Oryctolagus cuniculus: one gene and its partners. The protein of the gene in region 1 interacts with the protein of each later gene in a pairwise test. Links are inferred from orthologs where the notes say so. Each region holds a gene or a part of one and is shown on either strand. Other genes may lie near its edges.

Region 1 (5,910 bases):
GTTGGAGCCGCTTTCTCTGCTGCTCTGGGGGCAGGTGGCTGAAATCCTCAGTCACCACGGTCTGCGGAGGGTGGGGGAGGGGGGAGAGGACGATGGCTGGGACCCTGGACTCTCAGCGTCCAGGCCGCTCTGCACACTCTTCAGAGTCCACTCCCCCCGCCCCGGCTGAGGTTCTGCGGGGGGCGGGGCACGGCCATGCACGGAGCCAAGCAGGAAAGGGGGGCCCAGCCGGCCGCAGGAAGCGAGCCCAGGGTCCCCCCACCCGGCCGCCGGGCAGGCTGGGACGGCCTCCCCCACGAGGCCTCACTTACCGCACGGCCACCTCGGAGGCTGCGGAGGGACGCTAGCCGCGGTTTGACCGACTTACTGATCTCGCTCAATAGGGCCAGGGGGTCGAGGCCGGAGCGGGGGGATGGGGGCCCGTTAGGCAATGCCGGGGGCAGGGAACCCCCCAGTGGGGAGAGGGGAGGGGAACGCAGCTACCGGCGGGGGCCGGGGGGAGAGGTGGGTCCCGGGACATGGGAGGAGGTAGAAGAGGATGGAAAGAGGCCAGAAAGAAAAAATGGAGAAAGATAAAAAAAAAAAGAAGAAAAAACACGGTAAGGAAAACACAACTTAAGATGTATGATCACACACAGAAAATGCGTGCAAGAGTGAACACAGAAATGCCAGGGGTGGTGGGGAGGGTGTGAGGCTGTGAGCCCAAAGGCCAGACCCTGCCCCCCCCCTCTCCTGGAAGGAGGCCCCCTGGGGCTGCAGCTGGTCTCCACCAGGCTTTCTGGGCTCACAGTCTAGAGGGCGGGAGCAACATGCAGGCGGCCAATGAGGTCTCAGACACAGAAGCCAGAGGGCGGGCGAGCTGAGAGAGGGCTCCAAGGTGGAAGCATCATGGGGGGTGGAGGGGGGCGGGCAGCCAGAGGCCCGCAGGTGTCCGTGGAGTGGGGGTGGTCTCCAAGGAGAAATCAAAAGCAGTATCGGATGAAGGGACCCCAGGTCGGCCGAGAGGGAGCATTGTCAAAGGCACGGACTAGGAGTGTCCAGGTGTATGCCCAACACCGAAAGCCAAAACACCCAAGGGGGAAAAAGAGCATCGGACGTGGTGGCCCAGGGAGCCACCAGGACATTGGAGGAAACCCCGGGGGGCTTCTAGGAGGTGGTGTCTCAAGCCCTCGGGCCAGCCCTGAACTCCACAAGCAGGTCTTCTCCTCCCATTCTGAGAACAGCAGGCAGACGCCACAGGCTGCCCCTGCTACACACACACACACACACACACACACACACACTGGTCCCCCCAGCCTCCGGGGACTCCCAGGCTGATGGGCCCGCCCGCTCGCCTTCCTTCCCTCCAGCCCGGGCCAGCAGCCAAGAGGAAAATTCCTGCCCGGGACTCGGCGTTCAGGCAGCTGGGGCTGAGTCAGTGGGGGCCCCCCTTGTCCCCACTCACGGGCCCCGGCCCCCACCTTGCTCTTCTTGCCGAAGGGCCAGCGCTTGGCCCGGCTGCGGCCAGGGCCGCGGAGCTCCGGCCGCCCGTCCGCGGGGGTGCCCAGGCTGCTGTCCGAGGGCGCGCGGTTCATGGGCTGGCTGAAGTCTTCAAATTCTACATCGCCAGGGCGGGCAAAGCCAGACTTGTGCAGCTCTATGAGGACCTGTGAGTCCTGGGGGAAGGGACGGGGGGGGGGGGGGAGGCAGTCAGGGGAGGGGCTGGAGGACGCGCCTCTTCTCCTCCCCTGTGCCCGGCTCTCGGCCCATGGGACCCAGATGAGGCACCCACATTCTTGGCGTCCACGGCTTCGGCAGCCACCTTCATGCCTTCCAAGCACTTGGCAATGATGGGTACCACCTGCAGCTCAGCCTCAGACAGGAGCCCGTACCCGGCGCCCAGGCGGGAGGCGCGGCGTTCATCCATGTCCTGCAGCTTCTGGAAGGGGCAGAGGTGGCCTGGGTGACTCACTCAGCAAACACGGGGATGCTCCTCGCGCTGGCCCCAGCCCCAAGCCCGGTCTGGTGGAAAAGACCCAGATGCAACCAGATTCCCACCCGATGCAGTTCAGGGAGAGACACAAGGCCGGTGGGGGCACAGGGTGGGGAGGGGGGGCATCTCAGAGGATGCCCCTTGCCTAGGGAGCCGGGAAAGCCTCCCCACTCCAGCCAGGCAAGGAGTGGCAGTGGGAAACGGAGCAGAGCTAGACCCAGCAAAGACCCTCCCAGGGCCAGGAGTAGCCTTCGAGAAGACAGGGTTAAACTCGAGCCTTCTCGGAGGGATCGGAAGAGCTGGGGCTTCGAAAGGATGAGCAGGAGTTCCCAAAGGACAGAGAAACATCTGTGGCACACAGGAGTCACTGGAGCAGAAAGCACACCGGTCCTTCCTGCATGTCTGGCTCCCTTGCAATCCCGGAGTTGGGGAACCGGGCAGCTGGGGTTTTGACGTATGAGTAAGAGTTGGGTTTTTTGTTGTTTTGTTCGTTTTTTTTTTTTTAAGGAAGGCGTGGGAGCCTGGGGCACTCACGTCGAATATCTGGGGCATCTGTGAGAAATAGAAGTGGGCCTGGTCGCGGTTGAACCGCTGCAGCTGGGCCGCGTACTCGTTCTTGCTCTCCTCGGCCATGTGACTGCGCAGGTGCGCTTGCTGCTTGGCCTGAAGGGCGGGGCGGGCAGGCGTCAGGGGCCTCCGCCCCATCCAGATGCCCGGAGTCCGGGGCCGGGCTCCGCGCATGCGCACGCACCTTCTCCACGTCCGCCTTGGTAGCGTTGATGTCTTGGTCCAGGCGCTCCGCGGTCTGAGCCGCCTTCTCCGCCTCGCGGCAGTCTCGCTCGAATTTGCGCTTGCTCTGCACAAGGGACGGAAGCGGAGTGAAGGAGCTGCCTGTCCCCAAGATGGGGGTCACTGAGCACAGTGGGGGACACGCCTGGGGCGGGGGGCGGGGGGCGGGGGGGACAGGCAGTCGCGGCCAGGCAGGGAGGGCAGCTCGGGCCACTGCCTCCGGAGCCGCGGCCCCCGCCAGCCGGCACACTCACATTCTCCAGCTGCTTGAAGCCGGTTTCCAGCTGCTGCTGGGCCCGCCGGCCCTCCTGGAAGTGCTAGGGGGAGAGGAGCCGCGAGAGACTTTTACCAGGGTCCTCCCGAAGCCCCACCCCGGCCCCCCGGCCCCCCGGCCCCCGGCCCCGGCCAGACCCAGGGCGCGGAGCCCTCACCATCTTCCTCTCCTGCCTCATCTCCTGCGAGTACTTGGCCAGTTCGAGACACACGCGCAACCCGAGGTTCTCGGCCACCAGCTCCCGCTGGCCCGCAAAGTCATTCACCTCCTGCAGAATCTGCACAAAGGACTGTTGCTGGCTGAACCTGGGAGACGTGGGGGAGGCGGGGACAGGGAGTCAGAGCCCCACCCCCGGACTCCCCACCACCACCTCCAGGTGGGATAAAGCCCCCAAGACACCCATCCCGAAGCAGTGGCAAGTTCTGGTCCACATCCCTCACGCGCTACCGGGGAGTGAGGTGCACTGCGGAACTGGGAGATTTTCGAGTCTTCGAAAGGAGAGGCACAGGTTTTGGAACTTGTGTGCATTGCCCCAGTGGGGCTGGGGCTGCACCCTGACTAATCGCCCTTTGTGGAGGTATTAATGGTGACAGCATCAGAATCCCCCGGGGTAGAGGGGAGGGCAATGCCTCCAGGACCCCGGGAGGATCCAAAATCCTCACTAGCAACAGGCTAAGGCGCTCCCTGGGCCGCTGGCATTCCACATCAGAGTGCATGAGCTCAAATCCCAGGTCCACTTCTGATTCCAGCTTCCTGGGAATGCGCACCCTGGGAGACAGCAGTGATGGCCCTGCCGGCCACGTGGGAGACCCAGCCTGGCTGTCCCCGGCAGATGGAAGAGATCTCTCTCTCTAGCCCCTCCCCCCAAAGTCCTGGCTGTTGTAGACATGTGCAGTATAAACCCAGCAGATAGAGATCTCGTGCTTGCTTTCCTGTAAATAATCAATGTATTTTTTTTTTTTTGGACAGGCAGAGTTAGAAAGTGAGAGAGAGAGACAGAGAGAAAGGTCTTCCTACTGTTGGTTCACCCCCTCAAGTGGCCACTACGGCTGGCGCTGCACCGATCCAAAGCCAGGAGCCAGGTGCTTCCTCCTGGTCTCCCATGCATTCTAAAAAGTAAGCTGCATAGTGTTCTCGGCTACCTCGCCCCCTCCTGTACACCTTAAATCACCTGTAGCTGACATAGCCTCCTAGACAAGGTGAGTGCTACACTGTATCATTTAGGGACTAGCAGCACAGGGGTGGGACTGCGCATGTTCAGTGCACAGGTGATTTTGAAAATTCAAGTATTTTGAGACACAGTGCCCAGGGAAGGCTGCATTTACACCCAGCGAGATAAAGCCACCATAATCTCGCCTCACCTACGTTGGAGGTGGCTAGCAGCTCACCAAACACACTGCTGATGCCCAGAACTTTTTGGATTTTGCAGTGAGGAACTCAGAATAAAGTCAAGCGCTCCCGGGACAGTTAGGACAGGCAGGGGACCGCGGTCCTGAGTCCTGGGCAAACTCCCCTCAGCCTCACCTGAGCAGAACAGGACAAGTGGCTCCGTTCCCACGCCCACTTCTCAGATGAGGAAAACTGAGGCCCCAAAGCCGCAGGCCCAAGGTCACTCACTCTACAAGTGCTCGGGCCTCCCCGTGTAACAGGTAGGAAAGACAGAAGCCGAGCCAGGGAACCCCGCGCGGCCCCCCCACCGGCAGCCTAGCCCCGTGCCCCGGCCCCAGCCTCACTTGGATTCGGGGTCATCCTTGGGAAGCCTCTTGGGCAGGTACTTTTTCACCAGGTTCCTAAGGGGAGACAGAGGCGGGATGACTGAGCGCCCTGAGCCGCGGCCGCCCCCTACCCGGCCCGGCCGGGCCACGGGGTCTCCAGCCCTCCGGGTCTCACCGCAGCTGCTTGGCGTACGCCTGCTCCACCTCGGCGCGCTCCTTGACGAACTTTACGTATCGGTCCAGCAAGTCCAGCCCCCACTGCGTGTGGCGTTCCAGGACCTCGAACTGATCCTGGCGGGGGGGAGGGGACGGCAGGGCCCGGGTCGCGACCTAGGGACTTCGCGGCGCGCCCGGCTCCAGGGCCCCCGCGCTCGGCGGAGGAGGGGCTTCCAGGCACCGCCCCGGAGTGGCGCGGGGGCCGGCAGGAAACTGGCGGGAACCCCCTCCCCTTCCCGGGAAAGGGCCCCAGCCGGACGACGGGGTCTCCGTCTCCGAGCGGCCGAGAGGGGCGTGGAGCGGGGCGAGGCCACTCCCCTGCACAACCGTCCACCCCCCCGCCCCGCGCGCGCCCGGCTCCCCTAATCCCCCCCAGATTCCGGAAAATCCGGCCTGCCCGGCGTGAGTCAGGGCAGGGATCCCTGGCCGCTAGCTGGGGGCCCGCAGGGCCCGGGGGCAGGCCCCGAGCGCCCCCCGCCGCACCCCACGCGCGCCTCCATCTCCCCACGGGCTCCCGGAGAAGAGCCGACGGTGCGGGACCAGGGTGCGGGCGGAGACGCAGGCACTCGCCGCTCCCGGAGAGGGGAGGGGTCTTAGGTCCGGCCCGGACCTGGAGCGACCCTGGGGCTTCCCGGGCCCGGGGAGGGCAGGGTTGGAAGATCGCTGGGGCCCGGGCTCGCAGCCCCCTCCCCCTCCGAGGGCGCCCTCAGCCTCCCGGGCGCTCCTGGGAGGTGGGCGGCCCTGGCGGGGCCCACGTGGGACACGGGACGGCCAGCCGGACAGGCGGGCGGCGGGCAGGGACCCAGGGGCCGTAAGATAAGCCGCGGGCCGCGCCGGGACGCCCAAAATAGGTGACCTCGCCCGGCCGCCCCGGCCTGGCCTGGGGACTCCGGCCCGTCGCGCTCGCGGCCCCGTGCCTCAGTTTCCCCGGGCCGCCCTGCGAG
Region 2 (4,918 bases), on another chromosome or scaffold:
GGTAACCTGGGGAGTGAACCAACAGAGGGTAGATCACTCTCTGTGTCTCCTTCTCTCTCTATAACTCTGCCTTTCAAATAAATTAATGAATCTTTAAAAATGGTTTATGGATTTAAAAAAATAGTTTATGGATAAATGGGTATTCCCAAATAAAGAATCTGAATTTGCATGGCAAGTTTAGGCCTCTATAAAAAGACGTTTGACAAACGAATGAATAGAAACGGCTGCTCATTTGTTCCTTAGACCTCTTCATTGAGAAATGTAAACTGTTCTCACTGTGCAGTGTCACTCACGACAAATACTCTGTGTGTCGGCCTTCCTGAATATTTAGCACTACGTGGAACATCGGAACGGTGGGGCTGAAAGAGTGAAAGGGCAGCTGCTGAGGGAGGTCTGGTGACGTCAGATGATCGCCCAGGAAGGACACGCATGTGCGTGTCCTGATAGTTTGTAGCATAGTTGAGTATTTGCTAAATGCTGGGGTGAGCCTGGGTGATGTGAGTAGCTGTTGGTCCCTGTCCTCGTGAGACTTCTACTCAGGTGATAGGAGAGCAGACAGGCTGAATCGTGCTGACCAGGTATCAGAGAGCGTGCGGAAGGGGTGGTCTTAGATAACAGTGGCCAGTAGATTTTTCTGAGGGGCTGACATTTTAGCTGAGAGGGGAAATTGGCTCTCTCCAAAGGAGTTGAGAATACAAAGGCTCTCCGGCTCAGTGAAGAGTTTTCTGAAGCGAAATTGAAAAAGTAGGCCGAGGGCAGATGGAGTAAGGCCTAGCCATTTCCTAAACTCAATTTTAGTAAAGCAATTCATTTTTGAAAATAAATGTCTTTCAGATCAGGTATTTGGAGCCAACCTTGCTAATTTGTGTCAGAGGGAGAACAGCACAGTGCCTGCGTTTGTGAGGCTGTGCATTGACCACGTGGAAGAACATGGTAAGAGACCGGTTTTGGTTTTCTTGTTCTTTTACATTAAACAGCCAACCTATTGTCTAACCGTCAAATCCAGGGGAGGCAACCAGCAGTTCCTTACAGTCCTGAAATGTCCAGAAAAGCATTTTGTTTGGGGGAAAAACAAAACAAAACACCACCTTATTTATTTAGACCTGTCGCAAATAAGACCTCTGCAGGTATCTATTGAATGCTTTAGTCCTAGTGATTAATTAAGTGTGTGGTACTCTGAAGCCATTTGGAGTTGGCCTTTGATTAAAATGAAGAACACGGTGATTGTGAAACTGCGTTTGTTAGGAAGTGATAGTGCAGAGATCTGAGGAGACTGCGGAAGTGAGATGACGCTGTGTGTATATATTGGAATGTCAGGCTGCAGCCCATTAATACGTACAGTCATTGTTAATAAAAGGATTCTTGAGGACTGTTCAGTCAATACAGAATGTTGATATCATTTCCTACAAAGCGTGACAAGCTAATTTCTGTTTTGGTTAATTTTAACATTTATAATATATAATAGTTTTTTTTTTTTTAATAAATTAACAGTATGTTAGCTGTAATCACACCATCCTAGATCTGTGTGTCATCAGAAGCATTTCATGCAATTAAAACATGTGATAGGATTTGTAATTTCTGCCAGTTCCAGGTCTCTTGTGCCCCTGGCTCCTCTTGTCGACGTGACAGTCGTCGACACCACACTGCTTGCTTGCCTTTGTCTGAAGTTAAACGGAACAGCACATCAGCTAATGTGCTTTGTTAAATGTATACAGCACTGTCATTTCATGCATACCTACAAATTTAAGGCTTAATTATGTAAATTTCTAATGATTCTGTTTCATATATAAGATAAATTATCAAATGAGCGTGTTTCTTTTGATCTGCTTGTATTACAGTTATTGCAAGCACTTAATATGACAAATACTTTTAAGAGAGTTCTTCACTGTGTACATTTATGTTATAAAGTAGTGCGCAAAAAAATAGCAGGCCAGTGTTGTGTACTGGCTTCCTTTACGTGTTGAACTGTCCCAGGTGTTTCAGAAGTTTATCTGAAATTGTTGTGTTTCTTAAGTTTTAAATGTTATGTTTGCCTTGAGCCTGATAAACAAAGCAGAGTTTATTAAACAGAATTCAGAGTGAATTTCTAGCCCGCTCCCCTTGCCAAGCATGTATAAAAAGCCGTTCGGAGAAGAATATTTGTGCATTTGGTTTTAGACGAATGCTAACGAGTGAGAATGCCCAGACAGGCAGCTGCAGAGGCGGCAGAGCAATCCCTAAACCTGAAACGTTGTGCCTCCACCTAGGTCTGGATGTCGACGGGATCTACAGAGTGAGCGGCAACCTTGCTGTGATCCAGAAACTGAGATTTGCAGTCAACCACGGTAAGATTATCCTCCCTGCTGTCACAGCCAAGAGCTGCACTCACCACCTTCAGAACTGGCTCGAGGCCATTTTTAAAAATTTCCGATTCCTTCTGTTTCCCAGATGAGAAGTTGGACTTGAACGACAGCAAATGGGAAGATATTCATGTCGTCACCGGAGCACTCAAAATGTTTTTTCGAGAATTACCAGAACCGCTTTTTACATTTAATCATTTTAATGATTTCGTTAATGCAATTAGTAAGTATGTAAATGCATTGTTTTTTCTCTCTACATACTGAAAATCCTTCCTGTAGATGATACCGTCGTGTTGTTTGATCTCTCATTATAAAGATGGTTTTACTCCAGATATTTTAAATGTGACCACCAGATGGCACTGTGTATTACCAAATACCCTTTTCCAAACGGTCATTGCTTTCAGTTTCCTAAGTACTAGCTGCCGAATACCTACTTGTTATTTATTTTCCAGAGCAGGAACCAAGACAGCGAGTCGCTGCTGTTAAGGATCTAATCAGACAGTTACCAAAGCCAAATCAAGATACAATGCAGATTCTTTTTAGACATCTCAAAAGGTAAGAGGGGAAGGGCAGTCTGAGATACGGCGTAGTGCAGTGGGAACCCTGGGCGGTCCCAGTCACTCAGACCCAGGATGGGATCCGGCCATGCTACCTGCTGTCTTTGTGACTGTGAAAGAGGATGCTCCCCCGACTTCCTTTAGTATCAGTTCCTCGGGGGTGAAATGATGTAGGGTGAAACATGCACTAGACCCTGTGTGTGGAGCATTTATATAGGGCCTGCCACATTGTTGCTACTCGTGCAAAGATGAGATTGAGCCTTAAGTGTGAGACATTAAATTACCTTCAAGTAAAGCCACCGTGGCTCTGGGTTACTCTGGACATGTGAGTAACTGAATGTTTTCATCTTATAAAAAGAACTTTAGAATCTAAAATAATCCCAATAGGGAAATTTTTGTTGTTTTGCAAAAATAATATAAAATCAGTATAATTCAAAGTTCAATTTCTGTGTCCTGGTGAAATCCCCCCCCCCCCCAACCATCCACCTGGGGGAGTGACCACTGCCACCTGAATCGTAGCTAATACTTTGAGTCTGTGTCCTGTTTACAGAGGGAGCCAGAAATCTCACACTTTTAAAATTTGTTAGAGTGTGTCCAACGGGTCTTCGGGAGTTCACCAGGAAATGCGTACTGTGAAAAGAGCTGTGCGTGGATTTCAGGTTTTTTCAAATTGCATTTCTTGCGAACTTTTGAAGGCCTCTTGTGTAATTATCCTTTCATCTGAGTTTTTTCAAAAAAAGGCTTCACACGGCATTCAGACTGGGTTCTCCTTGGTTCAGGACTTTATGTGTCTTGGGAGAATGAGCGCTATTCTCTTTTCTCAATGCAGACGGTTAGGTTCATGATGCAGTGTGAAAAAGTTTTCCCCACCATCTTTTAACAACCTCTTCCCCCCTCTCCCAGAGTTATAGAAAATGGAGAAAAAAACCGAATGACCTACCAGAGTATAGCAATTGTCTTTGGTCCCACCCTGCTAAAACCAGAGAAGGAGACTGGCAACATAGCGGTTCATACTGTGTACCAGAATCAGATTGTGGAATTAATTCTGCTGGAAGTAAGCTCCATCTTCGGACGTTGAATCTTCACGAGGACGACCTGCGGAGCGACGCGGGGCTCCATCGATTTCACGTCTCTGTCCACAGTGTGCTTTCGTTTTGGACCAAGCAGTGACTCTTTGATTTTGCACTTTTTTGAGGGATCAGAAGGGAAGGGGAGCGTCACGATGCCTATTAGGCCCTCATATTTGCTGCTTTGTCACAAGGAGGTGTAACTGTGTAATATTGAATTCATTTATCCTGAATGTCTGCATTTCATACTTGGAATTCAGTAAAAGAAAAAAAAAAAAGAGAGACAGAAAGAAATCAAAACTTAACAGTTCTAACCAGTCATATACACTGGATAATTTGATAAGAAAACTACATTTCCCCCACCCCTCAAACTGGATAATGTAGAGTTTCTTCTCATGATCTGTAGGCTCACCACTTGGTAGAACAACATGTAACCACTTGGGCATTTTAAACAAAATGAAGTATACCTGTCTTGAAACCTGTGCGTTTCCTCTTCAGGGTTTCTGCATGCAGTGGCTAAGTGCTGTCACCAGACGTAACCCTTGCCGAAGGCTTGCTGTCTGTTCGTGTCGCACGGCATCCTCACTGGGTGTCTCAGTTGCGCGTCTGGGCAGCACACTAATACTACTTAAAACACTGTGATGTACTGGAGTTCTAGTTAGCATCAGTGAGGTCAGGGTGTTTTTTGAGCTGTCTTGCTTATACTGAATTGTAGCTAACAACCCTAGTTGTATCTAGTGCCATACTGAGCTCCTGGTATGACCCTGTGGAAATAGACATTGTAAATATAGGCTGAAGACTCCAGGTCCTTTAGCTGTGTATATCATTGTGCTGTATAGTCTCAGAGGACATTCTAACCCTGCGTTCCTATTCACGCTGTTGGTGATCTTTTCCATGAGTAGTAGGTTCCTCCAGAGATAGGCCGTTACTTGGGAGAGTTAACTGTGTGCACTTT
Region 3 (4,957 bases), on another chromosome or scaffold:
TTGAGTGTGGGCACATCTAGACTGCTTGTGCCAAGCACCTGCCCCTCACAGTCAACTCTTGTACCCAGCACTTACAGCAGTTCAGAGGTTGTGGGATGGAAGATCTCTTCCAGAACAAAGTCCCAACACACTGATTTTCCAGGGTTTCTGTGGAGGACTGGGAGGGGGAAATAAGTGACACTGACAGACCCTCCTCCCTAGACCAAGTGTCCATCTGCCTGCCTGGGGTGGGGTGGGGAAGTGGAGACAGGGGTGAAGAAATGAAAAAATTAGAGGAAACCAGAGACTGCCTCCTTCTCTAGCTCAGGGCAAATGTCCCTGTCCTCAGGGAATTCTTAAGGGGCAAAGCTAGCTCCCCTGCCCTCCATCTCCTCCCTCCCTCACAGCTCCCACCACCTCCCTCATTCTCTCCCTCCTCAACACCCCACTGCCACCCGTGCTTCCATGGCTCAGAAATTCTTCCACTGGTCTTGCGGATGAGAGAGGCTTCCCCTCTCTGGGTTCCCCTTCCCCTTCCTCCCCTATTCCCTCCTCTTCCTCCTGTAAAGGAAAATATTTGAGATCTTGAACCCCCTAGATTTCAGAAATAGGAAGGCATAGGGGCCTCAAGTCTAGGCTGTGATATGCCAGAGCTTTGAATTACTCCCTTGGAAATAGCTGTAAGCACCAGACAGACAGAGCTCCTATCCCCTGGTGTACTCCCCAGATGCTAGCAACTGCCAGGCTAGCCCAGGCAGAAGCCAAGAGCCAGAACCTCCACCCAGGTCTTCCACATGGGTGACAGGGACCCAAGCACTTGAGCCATTGCCACTGCCTCTGGAGGTTCTGCATTAGCAGGAAGCTGGAGTCGGGAAGGGAGCTGGACATGGAACCCAGATGTGGGATGTGGGATGCAGGTGTCGTAACCACTAGGCCAGATGCCCCAAGGACAGTTTTGAGGTACGCCTTTTTTGGGGGGAGGGAGGGAGAAAGTCCTGGAGGAGAAGGAGGAGGATGAGGAGGGGTGGGAATCATTTATCTAGATGGTATGATCACCATTTAGAGATGAGGAAACGGGCTCAGCGCCTGAGGCAGCTTGCTCATGTTCTGGAGCAGATCTGTGTGATCTTCTGTTGCAATTGGCTAGTGGTTTGCACCAGGAACTGGACAGAACTGAATTTTACAATTGAGAGGAGCATCCTGCCCAGCAGGTTCTTGCTGTATGAGTTGTGCACACAGAGAGTAGGGAGATTTGGTCATCAAGTGTGTTCTTGATCTAGTATTGTGCTCACTGAAAGCTTTTTTTTTTTTTAAATAATTAAGCACATGATCACCACACCTGGCCTCACACCAAGTTTGTCTCATCTCAGGGCCTTTGCACTGGCTATCCCAAAAGTTTAGACTGCTTTTTCTCCCAAATATTCTAATGGCCCATCCTCTGTTTTGTTAGGTTCAATACAACTGTCACCTCCTCCAAGTGTCACCTTCCCATTACCATCTGAATGGTGCACCACAGCACTCATCATGGTCTGTAACTCTGCTTGATTTCTATTTGGTTCTTTCTTTCTTGTCTGTTGCCCTAGGAGAGTGATTCCAACCCTATGAGGGCAGCAATTTATTTTTCTGTACTTCTTCCTCATTCCTTCATCCCTAGCCCCTGAAGTAGTGCCTGGAAATAAATATGGAAAGAAATACAGGCAAAATGGCTGAGGACGTAAAAGAACAAATCAATGAATATATCCATGTGAGGCTAAATAAATAAAATGAGATAGATCCACTAAAGGGACTTTGGGGAGAAAGGACCCCTAATTCCCACACTGGAAATGCAATCAAACACATTAGGGAAGACAAAAAGACAATGACTTTATTTTTTACTTAAAAATCCTTGAGTGAAGAGGACTGAGAATTTTTATATATATATAAAAAGGCCCTTGGTATTGGGAGGGTGATTGTGGGGACCAGGCAGGGAGAACAGCAGTCAAGGTAGGGTTCAGGGAAGAAATGGGATTTGGGGGTCTGGGGTGCAGAGTCGGGGCCGGGAGGCAGGGGCAGTAGAGAGCAGAGTAGGGAGTGGGCAGTGACTCAGTCGTCCCACTCGTCGTCTTCATCCTCATCGCCGGCCTGGTCCTCTCCTTCGTCTGAAAGGAGACAAGGATTCAGAGGGAGTTCAGCTTGGGGGGAAAATTCAAAGGCCCTGGAGAGCTGAGGGGGTATTCCTAAGGTCAAGTTAGGGTTTCTGGTTGGGACAAGATAGGCGTTATAGTCGGGAAGTCTGTTCTAGTTGGAGCTGAAATTAATATGGTATTGTTCAAAATATGGTTAGTCTGAGGCCTGGCATTTTAGTTTTGGGGTCTTCTGTTTGTCTGCTTACTACACTTGACCTTAGCCAAAAGGCCAAGAAGTGATTTTTTTTTTTAAGATGTATTTATTTATTTGAAAGGCAGAGAGAGAGCGAGCGAGCGAGCGAGAGCGAACTTCCATCTGCTGGTTCACTCTCCAGATGGCTGCAATGGCCAAAGCCAGGAGCCTGAGACTCCATCTAGGTCTCACACACAGGTGGCAGGGGCCCCAGCACTTGGGCCATCTTCCGTTCCTTTTCCAGGCCATTAATGGGGAGCTGGATCGGCAGTGGAGCAGCTGGGATACAAACCAGAATGATATAGGCTGCTAGTATCACAGGCAGCATATTTATCCATTACCCCACAACTCCGGCCACAGCTGCTCCACTTCTGATCCAGTGCCTGGGAAAGCAGCAGAAGATGGCCCAAGTGCTTGAGCCCCTGCCTCCCACCTGGGAGACCCCAGTGGACTTCCAGGCTCCTGGCTTTGGCCTGGCCCAGTCCCACCTATTGCAGCCATCTGGGGAGTGAACCAGTTGATGGAAGATTCTCTCTCTCTCACTCCCTCCCTCCCTGTAACTCCTTCTCTGTAATTCTGCCTTTCCAATAAAATTTTGAAAAATAACGCTTTAAGAAACATTTCCAAAAAACACGGTTAGTCGGGATATTGTCACACAACAGGTTAATGTTAACCCATTTGTCACTTAAAGGGGCAAGTGTAAATGCTGTTAGTGAAAGTGGGGTAATTTATTTTTGCTTAATGGTGGGTTAATGTTAATCTTTTTAACCCATAATGGAGTTTAATGATAATATTGCCAAATGATGAGGCTGGTTATAATGCTGTCATATAATGGAATCGCGTTAATCTTGTGGACACACTTTGGGGTTAATGTTATTGTCAAAGTTGGAGTTAATTGTATTATTGTCCGGTAATAGGTTAAAATTACTATTATCTTCATATAATGTGTGAAGGATAGTATTGTTGCCACAATAGGAGGTTAATATTAGCATTATTGTAGAAAGATGGAGTTAGCTACTATTATCATGGGTTCATATAAACTGTTGGTACAGGAAGTTAGTGTTAGTGTCGAAGATGGTGCTCTTTAAAATAGGATTGTCACATACTGATGTTAATAGGGCTGAATACAGGACAGCATTAATGCCATGGGCACACCCCTAATGATAATAATAGTTAATATTACATTAATACTATTGTCAAAGGTAAGAGTTATATTATGGTCATATACTGTCTAAATGTTACCACTAAGGAGACTGATCTAAGATTCTTCAATACTGTTACCCACAGACGTATATAATGTTTCTGTTGATGGGGACCGCCTGGGATGTTTGCAGGCCAAGGCTAGCCCTGGCAACCAGGTTCAGGGCCTGGGCCTGACAGGCTCACCGGAAGAGTGGATGGCCCTGCTTCTTTTCTGCATCACGTGCATCAGGGCGCCCACCAGCCCCTCGGAGGTCTGCGGTGGCGGCTGCAGGGCTGAGCTCTCTGGGGCCCCGGGAGTCTGCAGCAAGGAGAGTTTCAGTACTTCTTCCGCCCCTTCTTTGTAATTTTTCCTCCCACACGTCAATCCCTTTCAAGGCTCCCCACCCACCTCCCAAGCTTAGCACTAAACCCCAAGGCCTGGCACCCCCATCAGTCTCAGCCTCCGCCTCCCTGTATGCTGACTTGCACCTGACACCCCGGAGTCCCAGACCCCAGTCCTCCCTTCTGCTGGTCCTCACCTTGTTCAGCTGAATTCCCTGCCGGATTTGATCCAAAAGCGCCCCCCGACCCCCTCCAGAGGCCATGCAACCCCCAGACAGCGGAGCAAGTGGGGGCGGGGGAGGCACTGGCCCATCCCCGGAGCTGGGGGGTGGCGGTGGGGGAGGGGGCGGGGGAGGTGGAATGGCTGGTCCCCCAGCTCCAGGGGGCGGAGGGGGCGGTGGTCCAGAGCGGCCAGTGGCTGGAGGGGGTGGTGGTGGAGGGCCCCCTCGGCCTGGGGGTGGGGGTCCTCGGGGCGTGGGTGGGGGCGGAGCGCCCCCTAAAGGTACAGGGGGTAGTGGACCAGAACGGCCCTTGTTACCCCCCGCCAGAGGTGGTCTGGGGGGCTGGTTCCCTCCTCGAGATGGCGGTGGGGGCGGCTCTGTAGGGGGAAAAATAACACACAGCTGCTATTATTGTCGTTTTCTTGCAAGCTTCAGTTCTGTTCATTTGTAAAATGGGTCCCTCCGCCTGACCAATTCCCCACTCAAGCAGAACAGGGGGTTCTGCAAGGACTGGGTGGCTTCAGGGCTGGAGAAGAAGCGGGTGTAGAGAAGGGGCCTCACCTTGACGCCTCATCTCCTGCCGCACAGCCTCCAGCCCGCCCTGGTCCTCAATGAAGTCGTAGATGAGTTTGGAGGTCTCTGCATCAGTGAGTTGAGCCTCACTGATTCCTGCCCTGGAGAACAGGCTCCGCAGATCCGGGTCCAGGTTGTTCACCTGCCCCGGAAAAGGACCCAGGCAGGGGCGAAGGAATAAGGTGAGGAGGGAGAGGATAGGAATTGTCATTGGGTCCATCCTGGCCAGGGATGTGGGAAGCATGGGGTTTGGATATGGGCTCTGAGCAGTGATCTAGGAAAAGGTGGGTGGAAGTTGAGTG
Region 4 (6,630 bases), on another chromosome or scaffold:
GTCGCCACCTGTGAGCCAACATCCCACTTGGGTGCCGGTTCAAGTCCCCGCGGCTCCATTTCCAATCCAGCTCCCCATTCGTGGCCTTGGAAAAGCAGCAGTAGACGGCCCACGTGCTTGGGCCTGTGCGCCTGTGCGGGAGACCTGGAAGAAGCTCCTGGCTTCAGCCTGGCTCCACCCTGGTGATTGCAGCCAACTGGAGAATCGACCAGCAGATGGAAGATCTCTCTCTCTCTCTCTCTGAGTGTGTCTGTCTCTCCCTCTATCTCTTGACCTTCAAATAAATAAACAAATCTTTTAAAAAGGATTATGCATAAAAATATGATTCCAGGTTGGACTCCCGAGAAATCTGAAACACCCACTCCTCGGCCTCTCCCCACGGTGGGCCTCACGGGCACCCTCACACCTGAGCGCGGGTGCAGCGAGGCCCAGGGCTGCGCGGCCTGCAGAGGGAGGACTGTGAGGGGCCGGGCAGGGCCTCAGGGTCCTCTGCAGCAGCTCTAGGACTCCGACCAGGCTCTATGCTGTGTGAGAGTGTCCCAGACAATTAGGACTTTTCAGGAAGATTTTTAAAATAAAGATGGGGATACCAGCTCAGTCAGAACTATTCTGTGCATACACACATTAATACTTCGGCTATCAGAATCCGTGTCATTTAAGCACAATATCCTGCAATGCTCACAACAGCAAATGATGTGGAGGTCACACAGAATGCTGCGCACTGAAATTCTTCAGCAGATGTAAGGAACCACCTAACCCAGGGAGGACACTGAAATATCAGTTATGTTGTACTAATTTTTTTTTACTAAAATGTCTTTAGACAGATGGAAGCATAAAAATAAGTAGAACAGTCAGAGTTATACAGAGAAAGAAGAAGAGGCAGAGAGAGAGAGGTTTTCTATCTGCTGGGTCACTCCCCAATTGGTTGCAACAGCCACAGCTGTGCTGACCCGAAGCCAGGAGCCAGGAGCTTCTTCCCGGTCTCCCACACGGGTGCAGGGGACAAGGACTTGGGCCATCCTCGCTGCTTTCCCAGGTGCATGAGCAGAGAGCTGGATCAGAAGTGGAGCAGCTGGGACTTGAACCAGCACCCACATGTGATACTGGCACCACAGGCAGCGGCTTTACCTGCTCAGCCACAGCGTCAGCCCCTGCTCTGCTTTTCAAATAAATAAATAAATAAACCTTTAAAAAAATGAGTCCTAAAATATTACCATATTTTTTTCTTTTTTTTTTATTTTTTATTTTTTGACAGGCAGAGTGGACAGTGAGAGAGAGAGACAGAGAGAAAGGTCTTCCTTTGCCGTTGGTTCACCCTCCAATGGCCGCCGCGGCCGGCGCACCGCGCTGATCCTGGCAGGAGCCAGGAGCCAGGTGCTTTTCCTGGTCTCCCATGGGGTGCAGGGCCCAAGCACCTGGGCCATCCTCCACTGCACTCCCTGGCCACAGCAGAGAGCTGGCCTGGAAGAGGGGCAACCGGGACAGAATCCGGCGCCCCGACCGGGACTAGAACCCGGTGTGCCGGCGCCGCTAGGCGGAAGATTAGCCTAGTGAGCCGCGGCGCCGGCCAAAATATTACCATATTTTAATATAGGAAGGGTAAACTGCTACCTGTTTTTGGCCAGCCTACAAGCTAACAAATGTTTTTACTTTTTTAAATGTAAGTTTACAACACCTCCCTAAAATCAAATAATAATATTTCATGCTATGTGAAAATTACATGAAATTCAGATGTCACTGTTATCTGTAAACCTGACTGGACACAGCCAGTTCATCAGGTACTATCTGTGGCCGTTGCCTGCTACGGTGGCACACTGGAGGAACTGCAACAGTTTGCCCACAGAGCCTGAAATATTACATTCAATCACTGACATAAAAGTCTATTCATCACAAAACAATGGAAAGATAAATCTTGCTCATGGATCAGAAGAATCAATATCATTAAAATGTCTATACTGGCTGGATGACAGTGGGTAAAGCCACCACCTGCAGTGCCAGTATCCCACATGAGCACTAGTTCAAGACCCGGCTGCTCCATTTCTGGTCCAGCTCTCTGCTATGGCCTGGGAAAGCAGCAGAGGATGGCCCAAGTCCTTGGGCCCTGCACCCATGTGGGAGACCTGGAAGAAGCTCCTGGCTTCAGCCTGGCCCAGCTCCAGCCTTCTGGACATTTGGGGAGTGAACCAGCATACGGAAGTTCTCTGTCTCTGCCTTTCAAAAAAGTTTTTACAGATCATCTATCTTGTATGGGTTTACTAGTATCCAGAATATATAAAGAACTTTTGTAATTCAGCAATAAAAATATGTAAATACTAAAAAATGGCGACAAGAGTTAAGAAAAAGCCTAGCTCCCCAACCTCCCCACTGACCTCCTCAGAGAAAGAGACAGAGCCTCTCATCCACTGGTTACCCCCAAGTGCATAAGGGCCGAAGGCAGGCAGGAGGAACTCAAAAGGAGTGAAGCTGCAGTCTCCTGCCCAGAACCCGGGCCCTTGGGCGATCGCACGGCTTCCCGGGACCTCGCCTAGCAGGAAGTGCACTCTGACACAGGAGGCAGAGCCTCCACCCAACTCATTTTTTCTTACAATAAACGTATTAACTTAGGCCACTGCAGCGGGATACAACCCTAAGTGGTAACACCAACCAGAGCTAAACTCATTACGGCAAGCAGAGATCAACAATGCTGCTGGGTCTCGCCCAGGCGCACTGCCAGCCAGAACCACGCGGGCCCAGCTGGCGTGCAGACTTCCAGCCAGGTCCTTTTCCCGCCCGTGTGCCCCTTCACGTGCATGTCAACAAAGTTCATTTCCCAGCGGGGCTTGGTCGCGCCAGGCCTCGGCTCTAACACCCCAGCGGCTTCCCTGCGAGAAGGCGGATCCCCCGATGGCCCTCCCTCGCCCTCTGACCTTCCCTCCCGCCCGGAACGCCCCGCTCCGCGGCCTCGCGCCGGGCCCTGCTCGCTCTGCAGGCCTCACCTCAGAGGCCAGCGCGGCCCCCGGCCACCCCAGGCAAACGTCAACGCCTTCCAGCCCGACAGTCGCCGTCCCTCCCTGCACTTCCGGCTGCCAGAGCGCACACCGACCTCGGCGTCCGGCTTCCCTACGTCGGCCCCACGCGAGAGCCCGGGGGAGCGGAGCTCCGTCCCGGCTGGGCCCGCGCCTGCACGGTGCCGGCCAAGCACACAGGAAAGACTTCCTGACGGCGAATAAGCCGGAGAGGAGCAGGGCAGAGCCGCGGAGCGAGTGCCGGGGAGTACCTGTTTTTACCTTTACAACGAACGGGATTCCCGAGCTTGATTCTCAAACGAGCCCGCACTGCTCCCCGGAGCCCGCTTCCCGTACTGAACGCTCAGGACAAGGCCAGCGCAGCAGACACGGAGACCGGGAGAGGGGCTGCAGGGCGGCCCGCCCGACACACGGGCGCCCCGGGGCGCGCCTGCCGTCCACACCGCCCGTCGGGAAAGCCCGCACTCCCCAGCCTGCTCGGGGACTTGCTTTCCTGTTTCTGCCTCAGAACCCCCTCCCCAGGCCCAGCAGGGTAAGGGGCTGGCAGCAGCGAAGCCCCCGGGCGCCCCTGCGGCGGGCACCCCGCGCCCCGGCCGGCGCCGCGGGAGCGCGCGTCTCGCGCATCGCACCGCGCCGTGTCCAGCACCGCGCTGGCCGCGGGGTCCCGCGCGCGGGCCAACGCGGGGTCGCAGACAGGCCTGTCGCTCAGGCCGCGCTCGGAACGCGGCGCCCACGCGAGCCCGCGGGGCCGCGGCCGCAGTCGCCGAGGCTCCCCCGCCCGCGCGGCCCCGCCGGCCCAGCAGCATGACGTCACCCGCGCCCGCACGGCCTCCCGCGCCGGGCCCGGCACCTCCCCTCCCGCCGGCCCGTGGCCGCACCGTGCTCCCGACCCTCCGCCCCGAGCGGCCGGCGCCCCCGCCGCTGCCCCCGGACTCACGGTCGGTGCGGCGGCTCCTCGGCCATCGCCGGGCCGGGAGGCGGCGGCGGGGACGGCAGCGGGGGCGGCTGCTGCGCGGGCGGCGGCGGCGGCGGCGGCTGCGCGGGCGGCGGCGGCGGCGGCTGAGACGGCTGAGGCGCCGGCGGCGCTGGCGGCGGCTGCTGCTGCTGCTGCTGGAAAGACTTGAGGGACTCGAAGGCCTTCATCAGCTTTTCCAGGGTCGCCATGGCGGCCTCTCACCCCGCAGGGCAGCCCCCAGCGGCCTCGGGCCGGCTCGCGGCGACGCGGCGCCCCTCAGCAGCGAGGCAATGAATGAGGTTCGCGGCCGGGGGCAGAAGCGGAACCAGCGCGCCCGGCCATCTTGGGCCCGTCCCGGCAGCCCCCGCGGCGCCCCGCGTCCAGCGACGCTGCGTCGGCGGAGGCAGGACCACGCCGAAGCGGCGGGATTGACAGCCCGAGGCGGCCGTCTCTGCCTATGGCCGGCCGAGGCGCCGGCCCGTACCTCCCCCACTCCGCCCTCGGCAGCTTCGCTCCTCAGAGCCTGCGCTGCAGTTAGAACCCAGCGCTACCTCAGGGCGAAGACGGCGAGGGGGCGGGGCGAGGGCGGGACGAGGGCGGGACGAGGAGCGGCTGCGGGGCGGGCCCAGAGGGGCGGGGAGAGGGCGGGGCGAAGAGTGACTGAGGGGCGGGCCCAGAGGGGCGGGGAGAGGGCGGGGCGAGGAGTGACTGCGGGGCGGGCCCAGAGGGGGCGGGGGAAAGGGCGGGGCGAGGAGTGACAGAGGGGCGGGGCAAGGGCGGGGCGAAAAGTGACTGAGGGGGCGGGGAGAGGGCGGGGCGAGGAGCGGCTCTAAGGGGCGGGGCGAAGGGTGGCTTAGGGAACGGGGAAGGGGCAGGCGAGGGGGCGGGGCGGAGAGCGGTGGGGCGGGTCCAGAGGGGGCGGGGCGAGGAGCGTCTCTAGGGGGCGGGCCGAAGGGTGGCTATAGGGGACCGGGAAGGGGCAGACGAGGGGGCGGGGCGGAGAGCGGTGGGGCGGGCCCAGAGGGGGCGGGGAAATGGGCGGGGCGAGGAGTGACTCTGAGGGGCGGGGAAATGGGCGGGGCGAAAGGTGGCTATGGGGAACGGGGAAGGAACAGGCAAGGGGGCGGGGCAAGGAGCGTCTAGGAGGGCGGAGAGCGGGCCCAGAGGGGACGAGGAGAGGAGCGGCTCTAGGGGGCGGGGCGAAGGGTGGCTTAGGGAACGGGAAGGGGCAGGCGAGAGGGCGGGGCGGAGAGCGGTGGGGCGGGTCCAGAGGGGGCGGGGCGAGGAGCGGCTCTAGGGGGCGGGGCGAAGGGTGGCTTAGGGAACGGGGAAGGGGCAGGCGAGGGGGCGGGGCGGAGAGCGGTGGGGCGGGTCCAGAGGGGGCGGGGCGAGGAACCAATCTGAGGGGCGGGCCCTGAAGGGGCGGGGAGTGGGCGGGGCGAAGGGTGGCTATAGAGGAGGGGAAGGGGCAGGCTTGGGGGCGGGGCTAGCGGGAACGAACCATGGGGGCTGGAACAGGTGCAGGGCTGGTGTCGGCGAACCGCGACCGGGAAGACCCCACGAGGGAAGAGCCCCTCCCCGACGTAGAGCTGCAGACGCCGGCAGGTCGGGGCTGAGCCTACTGGGGTCTCCCTGCGAAGGGGAGCGGCCCCAGGGGGCGCAGACGCTCAGCAAAGGCGTGGGGCGCCCCCTCATGCCCGGGGGCGTTCAGGCTGTCGCCGAGGGGTCCGGGGCACCCCGTGAGCGAGCAGAGGGAGGTGGGCGCGTACAGGGCCGCAGGTGCAGCCGGCCCAGCGCCGAGGGAGCCTGGCGGCCAGGAGGGGGCTCCTCCCCGCTCAGGCCGGTGAGCGCTGTCATCCACGCGTGTTGTGCCTTTGTGTTGTGCAGTGACGTGTGGTGCACACGTGTTGAGTTCGCTGGCCTGGGGGGGTGGGCCTTAAACCGCGGCCATGGATCCTCACTGCCCAGGCCCGGGGCCGCCCTCTGGTCTGTGTGCCCACTGCTTCCTGTGCAGACGCTAGTCACAGGGGATCGGGACCCCCTGGGGACCTCCCACCCCCCGAGGCTGCGTGCGAACAGCCGCCCAGCTCTGTTGGGCAGCTTGCCCAGTATGAGCGCCCCTCCTGGAAGTCCCCTGAAAGGGGAGGGGTTCGCCCGCCCGCTGCCTGGGACGGCGCAGCCGGTAGGACCGGGAGCCCAGGTGCCCCGGCTGCCTGCCTCTGCCCGGAACGCACTGTGGGGTCCTGCCAGGAAGCCTCGGGAAACGCACTAGCGCGTGGGCCCTGCCGGGAAGCCCCGAGCTCCCGTCAGGCGCCTGGCCTGGAAACCCAGCTCCACTCCTGGCATATTCCAAACAGAGTAATTAAAGATTAATACCGCGGGGCCGGCGCCGCGGCTCACTAGGCTAATCCTCCGCCTGCGGCCCCGAAACACCGGGTTCTAGTCCCGGTCGGGGCACCGGATTCTGTCCCAGTTGCCCCTCTTCCAGGCCAGCTCTCTGCTGTGGCCCGGGAGTGCAGTGGAGGATGGCCCAGGTGCTTGGGCCCTGCACCTCATGGGAGACCAGGAGAAGTACCTGGCTCCTGCCTTCGGATCAGCGCGGTTCGCCGGCTGGGGCGGCCATTGGAGGGCGAACCAACAGCAAAAGGAAGACCTTTCTCTCTCTCTCTC
Region 5 (6,554 bases), on another chromosome or scaffold:
TTCCTCTGCTTTCAGGGAGCTGGGTAGCAAGTGGAGCAGCTGGGACTTGAACAGGCACCCATATGGGACTCCAGCATCCCGAGCAGTGGCTTTTATTCATCAAGCCAGCCTCAGAGCTCATGCCTTTAACAAGCACTCCAATGTGCTCTCTCTCCTTTCATAGTCTACACTGATCACAAAGTCCTCTAAGTTCCATCCTGGCAAGCACTCTATTATATTCACCGCACCACTTCCATGGCCCAATACTTAAGTAGGTGCTCAAAAAAACCTTTTGTTTGTTGAACACATGAAATGGCCCTGACCCCTCCTCTTCCATTTCTCGCCTCAGTCTTACATTTCACACTTGGGTTTACTGATACATCCTATCAACTAGCCAATCAGGCAAACCAACACAAACCTCTTTGCCAGATTTTCCATAACCCAGTCCATCCAACCTGTTTTTTTCTGTTGTTTCTCAATTAAAATCATAAAATCTTAAAGACAAAGAATCTCAGAGATCATGTTGCCTCACCTCATTGTACAGATAAAGAAATCCAAAAGTGATGACTAAACGCACCAGTCAGCTAGAGCCAGCATAGAACCTGACTTGCGATTCTGCTGGAGGTCAAAGTTCACTCCTGACAGACGTCTCCTCACTGTCCCACCAACAAATCAAGCCCATCCCCACCGTTCCCACTCAGACTGCCTTTTCCTGCTCCCTTGGTCCAAATTCCATCCATCCTTCGAACATGTCTTTGCTATCCTATTCTTCGCGACTTCTTCCTCCTCCGACAATCTTCTGTCCTGAATATTAGAGGAAGGTGATCACCACGGCCCAGTGGCCCACTTTTAACGCACAGGAACACTTCCCACAAAGCAAAGCTACTTGGACGATTTCTTCCCTGGAAACTTTTTTAAAAAACGTATTCAAGAGGCAAATAGGCAGGCAAAGAGATACAAACACCGTCCATTGGCGTGTTCACTTTCTAAATGCCTGCCAACAGCCAGGCTGAAGGCAGAGGCCAGGCTCTCAGTCCAGGCCTCCCAAACACTTGAGCCATCATGTGCTGGCCCCAGGGCCTGCACCAGCAGGAGCTGCAATCAGGAGCCGGAGCCTGGAATCAAGCCCAAGCCTTAAGTCACTGGGCACCAGCATCGTGACTGCTGGACCAAATGCCCATCCTCTTGAGAACTACTCCTCTTTTCTTTCCTCCCATGGTTTAGGAAGTAATTTCAATAAAAAACAACAGTGGAGGATGGCCCAAGTGCTTGGGCCCTGCACCCGCATGGGTGACCGGGAGAAGCACCTGGCTCCTGGCTTCGGATCAGTGCGGTGTGCCGGCTGCAGCACGCCGGCCGCGGCGGCCATTGGAGGGTGAACCAACGGAAGGAAGACCTTTCTCTCTGTCTCTCTCTCTCTCACTGTCCACTCTGCCTGTCAAACAACAACCACCACCACCACCACCAACTCCTATGGCACCTGCATCAAATATTAAACATCGCTTTATATGTCTGCTACTAAAGATGTGCTTGAGGTTTCTTCAAGGTATGTGAATTGAAGCGTGCATAGACCCAAGTTACAGACATCTCCTCCATGAAGAAACACTCACTCTGTGGGGTAAGTGTTTGGGGCAGAAGTTGAGACACCACCTGAGACACACTAGAGTGTCTGGGTTCGAGTTCTGGCTCCACTTCCGATTCCAGCTTCCTTCAACTGTGCACCTTGGGGGACAGCAGATGATGGCTCAAGCACTGGGGTCCCTGCCTCCCACCTGGGAAACCCAGAGTCCATTTCGGGCTCTGGGCTCCGGCATGGCCCCAGCCCCAGCTGCTGCAGTCATTTGGACAGTGAGGAGCAGATGGAAGACTTCTGTCTCTTTCTGCCTTTCAAATACATTAAAAATTTAAAAACTCAGTGTAACCACAAAGTCCAAACTCAGACCTCTGACACAACTCAGCTATTAGTCACGGACCCTCGGATTCATCCTTCTGTGCATGCTACCATCAGCCATGACACTCTCCCAACGCCACTGCTAGCAAAGGATCCACACTTCACTTTCGCCCTCCACTTCCCTCGACTGTGTGACACAGAAACCCGTCTCTTCTACCCTTTACCGTCTTCTACATCCGTCTTCCGTCACTGTCCAGTTTGCCCCTCTCGGCCACTTTCAACCGGCCAGTCCCTCCACCAGCCACACCTCCATCTTCAGCCCTTCGTGGATATGGGGGGGACCTCAATCCCAGGCAAGTCAATGTTGATTTTATTCCCTCTAGCAAAGAGGTTTCAGAAGTGACACGAGTATGTCTCTGAGGAAGTGTACAGGATCCACTGGGCCGGGGCGAGGCGGGGGTGGGGGGGTGGGAGGGGTCAGGAGCCTTATGATATTCTCAGCCTATCATTTCCTAAATTCTATTTCTGCATACGTTTAAGAATTACAGCACATATTAGCACGGTACACGAACATAACGGCCTAAAATACACAAATCAGAATATACGCTCAACATTTTTACTGAGTGCGTAACAAAGGGGTTTGAAGACAAACTATTCTCAAGATAAATAGACGCGACCCAAGGGATAGGTGCCAGGCCACATATCTGCAAGCACTATACGTACATAGGCATACACACACACACACACACACACACAGGCTACAAAGGAAAACTTGCCCATACCCAGAAGGAAGTCCTAGCCATGCCCACCAACTTACAGCCCTTGCCAGCCATCTCAGAACCGTGTCCTCCAAGGAACAGAGCAGGGTGGTGGGGCAGACACACATGCACACACACACACACAGTCAGGGGCTCGCACCCTCACCTTCCTACAAAGACGGGCATTCCAGGGCACCGTGCAGCCCGCCACCCTGACACCGCTCCCCGCCAGTCTCCCGAGGTGCACGCCCGAGCTCCCCAGCCACACTGGGGCTGCCTCCGCTGACAACCGGCCTCCACCCCCCCACCGCCCGGACGCAGCCCCTCGCTCCCCTCATCCCTGCCTCCCCCGGACGACGCACGGCCCCGAGCCGGGGGACAGGCCAGTCCACCCGAGCTCCGAGTGACCGCCCCCAGGAGCTGCCAGCCAGGCTGGAGACGGGCGGGGGGAGGGGTGTGCTCGCCGCCCGTGACGGGCCCAGATGGCAGCCGATTCCGCCCCCACCCGCCGGCACCCCTCCGCCCCGCGCCCCCCGGCCGCCCGCCCCCGCCCCGCGCCCCGCCACACTCACCATGCTGGGTGAAGATATTGAAGCCGCTCTCCGCGGTGCGCCCCGCCGGGTCCCGCCTGCGGCCGGAGGGCCTGGCCGCGCTGCTGCCCCGGATCCCGCGGGGCTGAGGCTGCGGGAGCCCCGGAGCCTCCCCGACGCGGCCCACCTGCTGCCCCATCCCTGCGCTCGCGTACTCCCGCGCCCCCGCCAACCCCCCGGTCACATTCCTCCTCGGCTCCCGGCGCTGCTCCGGCCTCTCCTTCCCGGCCCAGGCCCTGGCCCTGAGCGGCCGGGGCCGCCGGCGGCTCGGCCCCCGGACTCCTCACCGCGGCCGCCGCGCTGCTCCCCGGCGACTCACAGACTCCGCTGCTCCCTCCCCCTCCCGCCGCTCCGCGCCCCCAACGCCGCCGCCGCCGCCGCCATCTTTAAACCACCGAGCGCCGGGCGAGCGTGGGGCAGAGCGTCTCCCGCCCCCCGCCCCCCGCCTGCCAGTCACCTCCGCTCCCCCGGAGGGCGGGGCCTCCGGAAGCTCCGCCCCGCTCCCCGCCGGGCCGGCCCCCCGCGCCCACCTCGCGCGCGCGCGTCCACGGCCGCCTCGGGTCCCGAGTCCGCGTCCGCGGTCGCCGGCCTGCTCCACACGCGCTACCGCCGCCCTCAGCGTCGGTGCAGCTCGGGCCTTGCCCGCGGCGCCGGCACCTGTCAGCTCCGTCAGCGAGGGCGGAGTGCCCGCCGCGGGCGCCGCCGAGGCGGAGAAACACGAGGGTCGTGAAAGGCCCGGGGGGATCCGCTTACACGTAGCCGTGGCCTGCAGACAGAATGGCACGAAGTTCACCTGAAGGGACAGTGGTGTGCCCGGGCTGTGTGCCCCACGCCGCCCAGAATCCCCTCGGAGCCCCCCGGCCGTCCCAGCACGCGTGTTTCTGTGTCCCGAGGGTTGACCCTAACGCGAAACCGCCCACTGGCGAGCTGCGTGCTCGAGGCACGGGGCCCCAGCCCAGGTCCTCTTTGGCGGAGACAGGGAGAAGAAATACGAATGTTCGGTCCCGTTTCTGAGTCAGAACTCCTCGTCTTTAGCTCCTGTTGTCTGAACAGAGGGGATGAGTCAGGAGAAGGGTGTTTTTTACTCCCACAGCTCCCTCACCATCCTCTCCCACGCTGTGTATCTGAATATCGATCCACTTGTTCTGACTTCTCAAAGAACTAGGCTGTTATTCTCCTCCTTTCCTTCGGCTTCCCTGTTGGCTTTATTAAAAGGTGTCGGTTATTAGCGGCATCACACTTACATTTGGTTTTAAAATGTGTAATGGGAACCATTGCAAAATAAATAAATAAAAACAGCCCCCAAGAACAGAGGTGGGGGGAAGCAAAGACAGGTGTAGTTCATGACCCACTCACTTTTTTTTTTTTTTTTTGGACAGGCAGAGTGGACAGTGAGAAAGGTCTATCCTTTTGCCATTGGTTCACCCTGATCCAATGGCAGGAGCCAGGTGCTTCTCCTGGTCTCCCATGGGGTGCAGGGCCCAAGCACCTGGGCCCATCCTCCACTGCACTCCCTGGCCACAGCAGAGGGCTGGCCTGGAAGAGGGGCAACCGGGACAGAATCCGGTGCCCCGACCGGGACTAGAACCCGGGGTGCCGGCACCGCTAGGTGGAGGATTAGCCTAGTGAGCCGCAGCGCCGGCCAACCCACTCACTTTCATACAACCTTCATCAACCACCCGCTGACACAGATCCTTCAGGAGGGCTATGAAATAGTCCACTGTTACCTGGGATGTGGCCAGGAATAACTGAAATTACTCCCACCCCCAAAATAGGTACAGAAACTTTAAGCTTTAGCACAGTACAGAATATGAACTTTCTGTTTGGATCCAAGTTTTCCTGTGTTTAATTATTTTCTGGGGCCGCTGCTGTGGCACAGTGGGTAAAGCCGCCGCCTGCAGTGCCGGCATCCCTTATGGGCGCCAGTTAGGTCCTGGCTGCTCCACTTCTGATCCAGCTCTTTGCTATGGTCTGGGAAAGCAGTGGAGGATGGCCCAAGTACTTGGGTCTCTGCACGCATGTGGGAGACCTGGAAGAAGCTCTGGCTCCTGGCTTCGGATGGGCACAGCTCCAGCTGTTGCAGCTAATTGGGGAGTGAACCAGTGGATGGAAGACCTCTTTCTCTCTCTGTCTCTCCTTCCCTCTCTGTGTAACTCTGACTTCCAAATAAATAAATCTTTTAAAAAAATACTTATTTTCTTGTAATTTCCAAAGTTTTTGCAGTTATTGAAAAAAAGTCTGTACACAAGGGATAAAGATTATAGAGCCAGAATTTGCCTTACTGCTTGATATTTTTATCGGAGAATTTCGATTTGGGAGTAATAATTGCTTTCTCTGCTAACTCATACATGGTGGACAGTAGTAGATGAGTAGGGGCAGGGACTGCGAAGCTAAACTGCTTACATCCGAAACTTGGCTCTGACACATCATAGTTGTTTGATCTTGGGCAAACTACTCCACTTGTTTGTGCCTCAGTTCCTCATCTATAAAATGAAGATGATGACAAATTATACCTATCTTACAAGGGTTGTTGTGCAATTTAAGTATGTGAACATGTAGGTTACTAAAAGCAGTATTTGACACTAGTAGTATAAGCGTATACTACTAGTACAAAAAAAGTAATGTCCTCGGAGCCCATCTGCTTTTACAAGTCTAACTTCTTCAAGGAGTCTACACTTAAACCATGGATCAAATTCTCTACCTGACATCCAGCCTATAACTAAAAACACCAACCAAGCAATAATAAAATGAATCACCTACCACTTTATTAGTCACTCCTGTCTGGTTATCACCGGCTGCCTGCATGTGAGCTGTTGTGCAATACCTCTGTTTTGAACATGAAGGGATTCTTAAGAGCCTATGGAAGCTAAAGCAAATGTCCTGTAAGTGAATGCTTAGGATATAGGCATCATCTTGTGACTATTTTTCACTCTTCCATTTGCAGAGTGAAATGGGAAGGGGGTAGGAGGCGGAGAACAGACGAGAGAGACTGAGTTAATGAGTTATGGGAAACTCACTGCCATACAACCAAGCCTAAATGACTTGCTGAGAATTACTTCAGGTTCATTACCTTTAGCTGTGGTTGTGACCCCTATGACCCCATCTCAGCATTTAAGGCAATCCCGAGTAATGCCATGGAAGCCTGAACTGAGGACAGCCGTGGGCTCCAGGCGCGGGAAAGAAGCCAGGGGTGCAGAGCGGCTCAGGGCGACCTTGGCTGAGCAGTAGTAAGCAGTGGGCGTGAACCATCAGCTGCAGCACCGGCAGACACACAGACGCCCAGCTAGGAGTAATCCCACTTTCTCCAAGGAGTGCGGTGCTTGGAGCAGTGCCTCA

The links.
Region 2: the proteins of TRIP10 (region 1) and ARHGAP12 interact in binary tests that used the Homo sapiens proteins (3 or more experiments, as listed by UniProt). The two-hybrid records come from large-scale screens. The link is inferred for Oryctolagus cuniculus from reciprocal best matches to the Homo sapiens genes TRIP10 and ARHGAP12.
Region 3: the proteins of TRIP10 (region 1) and WAS interact in a two-hybrid assay, tested with the Homo sapiens proteins (2 studies listed by BioGRID). The link is inferred for Oryctolagus cuniculus from reciprocal best matches to the Homo sapiens genes TRIP10 and WAS.
Region 4: the proteins of TRIP10 (region 1) and HTT interact in binary tests that used the Homo sapiens proteins (3 or more experiments, as listed by UniProt). The link is inferred for Oryctolagus cuniculus from reciprocal best matches to the Homo sapiens genes TRIP10 and HTT.
Region 5: the proteins of TRIP10 (region 1) and ABL2 interact in binary tests that used the Homo sapiens proteins (3 or more experiments, as listed by UniProt). The link is inferred for Oryctolagus cuniculus from reciprocal best matches to the Homo sapiens genes TRIP10 and ABL2.

Annotation. Positions count from the first base shown.
Region 1 is NC_091447.1:60,904,300-60,910,209, reverse strand, and holds part of TRIP10 (cdc42-interacting protein 4), read right to left. Parts: intron 5,042-5,910; coding exon 4,926-5,041; intron 4,826-4,925; coding exon 4,769-4,825; intron 3,341-4,768; coding exon 3,193-3,340; intron 3,079-3,192; coding exon 3,016-3,078; intron 2,829-3,015; coding exon 2,724-2,828; intron 2,636-2,723; coding exon 2,507-2,635; intron 1,919-2,506; coding exon 1,772-1,918; intron 1,656-1,771; coding exon 1,461-1,655; intron 480-1,460; coding exon 312-479; intron 62-311; coding exon 1-61. UniProt on the Homo sapiens protein: Required for translocation of GLUT4 to the plasma membrane in response to insulin signaling. Required to coordinate membrane tubulation with reorganization of the actin cytoskeleton during endocytosis.
Region 2 is NC_091444.1:102,256,468-102,261,385, reverse strand, and holds part of ARHGAP12 (rho GTPase-activating protein 12), read left to right. Parts: intron 1-834; coding exon 835-933; intron 934-2,246; coding exon 2,247-2,324; intron 2,325-2,427; coding exon 2,428-2,562; intron 2,563-2,791; coding exon 2,792-2,894; intron 2,895-3,799; coding exon 3,800-3,974; 3' UTR 3,975-4,918. UniProt on the Homo sapiens protein: GTPase activator for the Rho-type GTPases by converting them to an inactive GDP-bound state.
Region 3 is NC_091453.1:33,877,894-33,882,850, reverse strand, and holds the end of WAS (actin nucleation-promoting factor WAS), read right to left. Parts: intron 4,798-4,957; coding exon 4,644-4,797; intron 4,460-4,643; coding exon 3,724-4,459; intron 2,118-3,723; coding exon 2,090-2,117; coding exon of another isoform or gene 2,062-2,089; 3' UTR 1,823-2,061; downstream 1-1,822. UniProt on the Homo sapiens protein: Effector protein for Rho-type GTPases that regulates actin filament reorganization via its interaction with the Arp2/3 complex. Important for efficient actin polymerization. Possible regulator of lymphocyte and platelet function.
Region 4 is NC_091433.1:1,727,279-1,733,908, reverse strand, and holds the start of HTT (huntingtin), read right to left. Parts: upstream 4,320-6,630; 5' UTR 4,170-4,319; coding exon 3,943-4,169; intron 3,380-3,942; exon of another isoform or gene 3,267-3,379; intron 1-3,266.
Region 5 is NC_091438.1:7,420,000-7,426,553, forward strand, and holds the start of ABL2 (tyrosine-protein kinase ABL2), read right to left. Parts: upstream 3,592-6,554; 5' UTR 3,358-3,591; coding exon 3,201-3,357; intron 1-3,200. UniProt on the Homo sapiens protein: Non-receptor tyrosine-protein kinase that plays an ABL1-overlapping role in key processes linked to cell growth and survival such as cytoskeleton remodeling in response to extracellular stimuli, cell motility and adhesion and receptor endocytosis.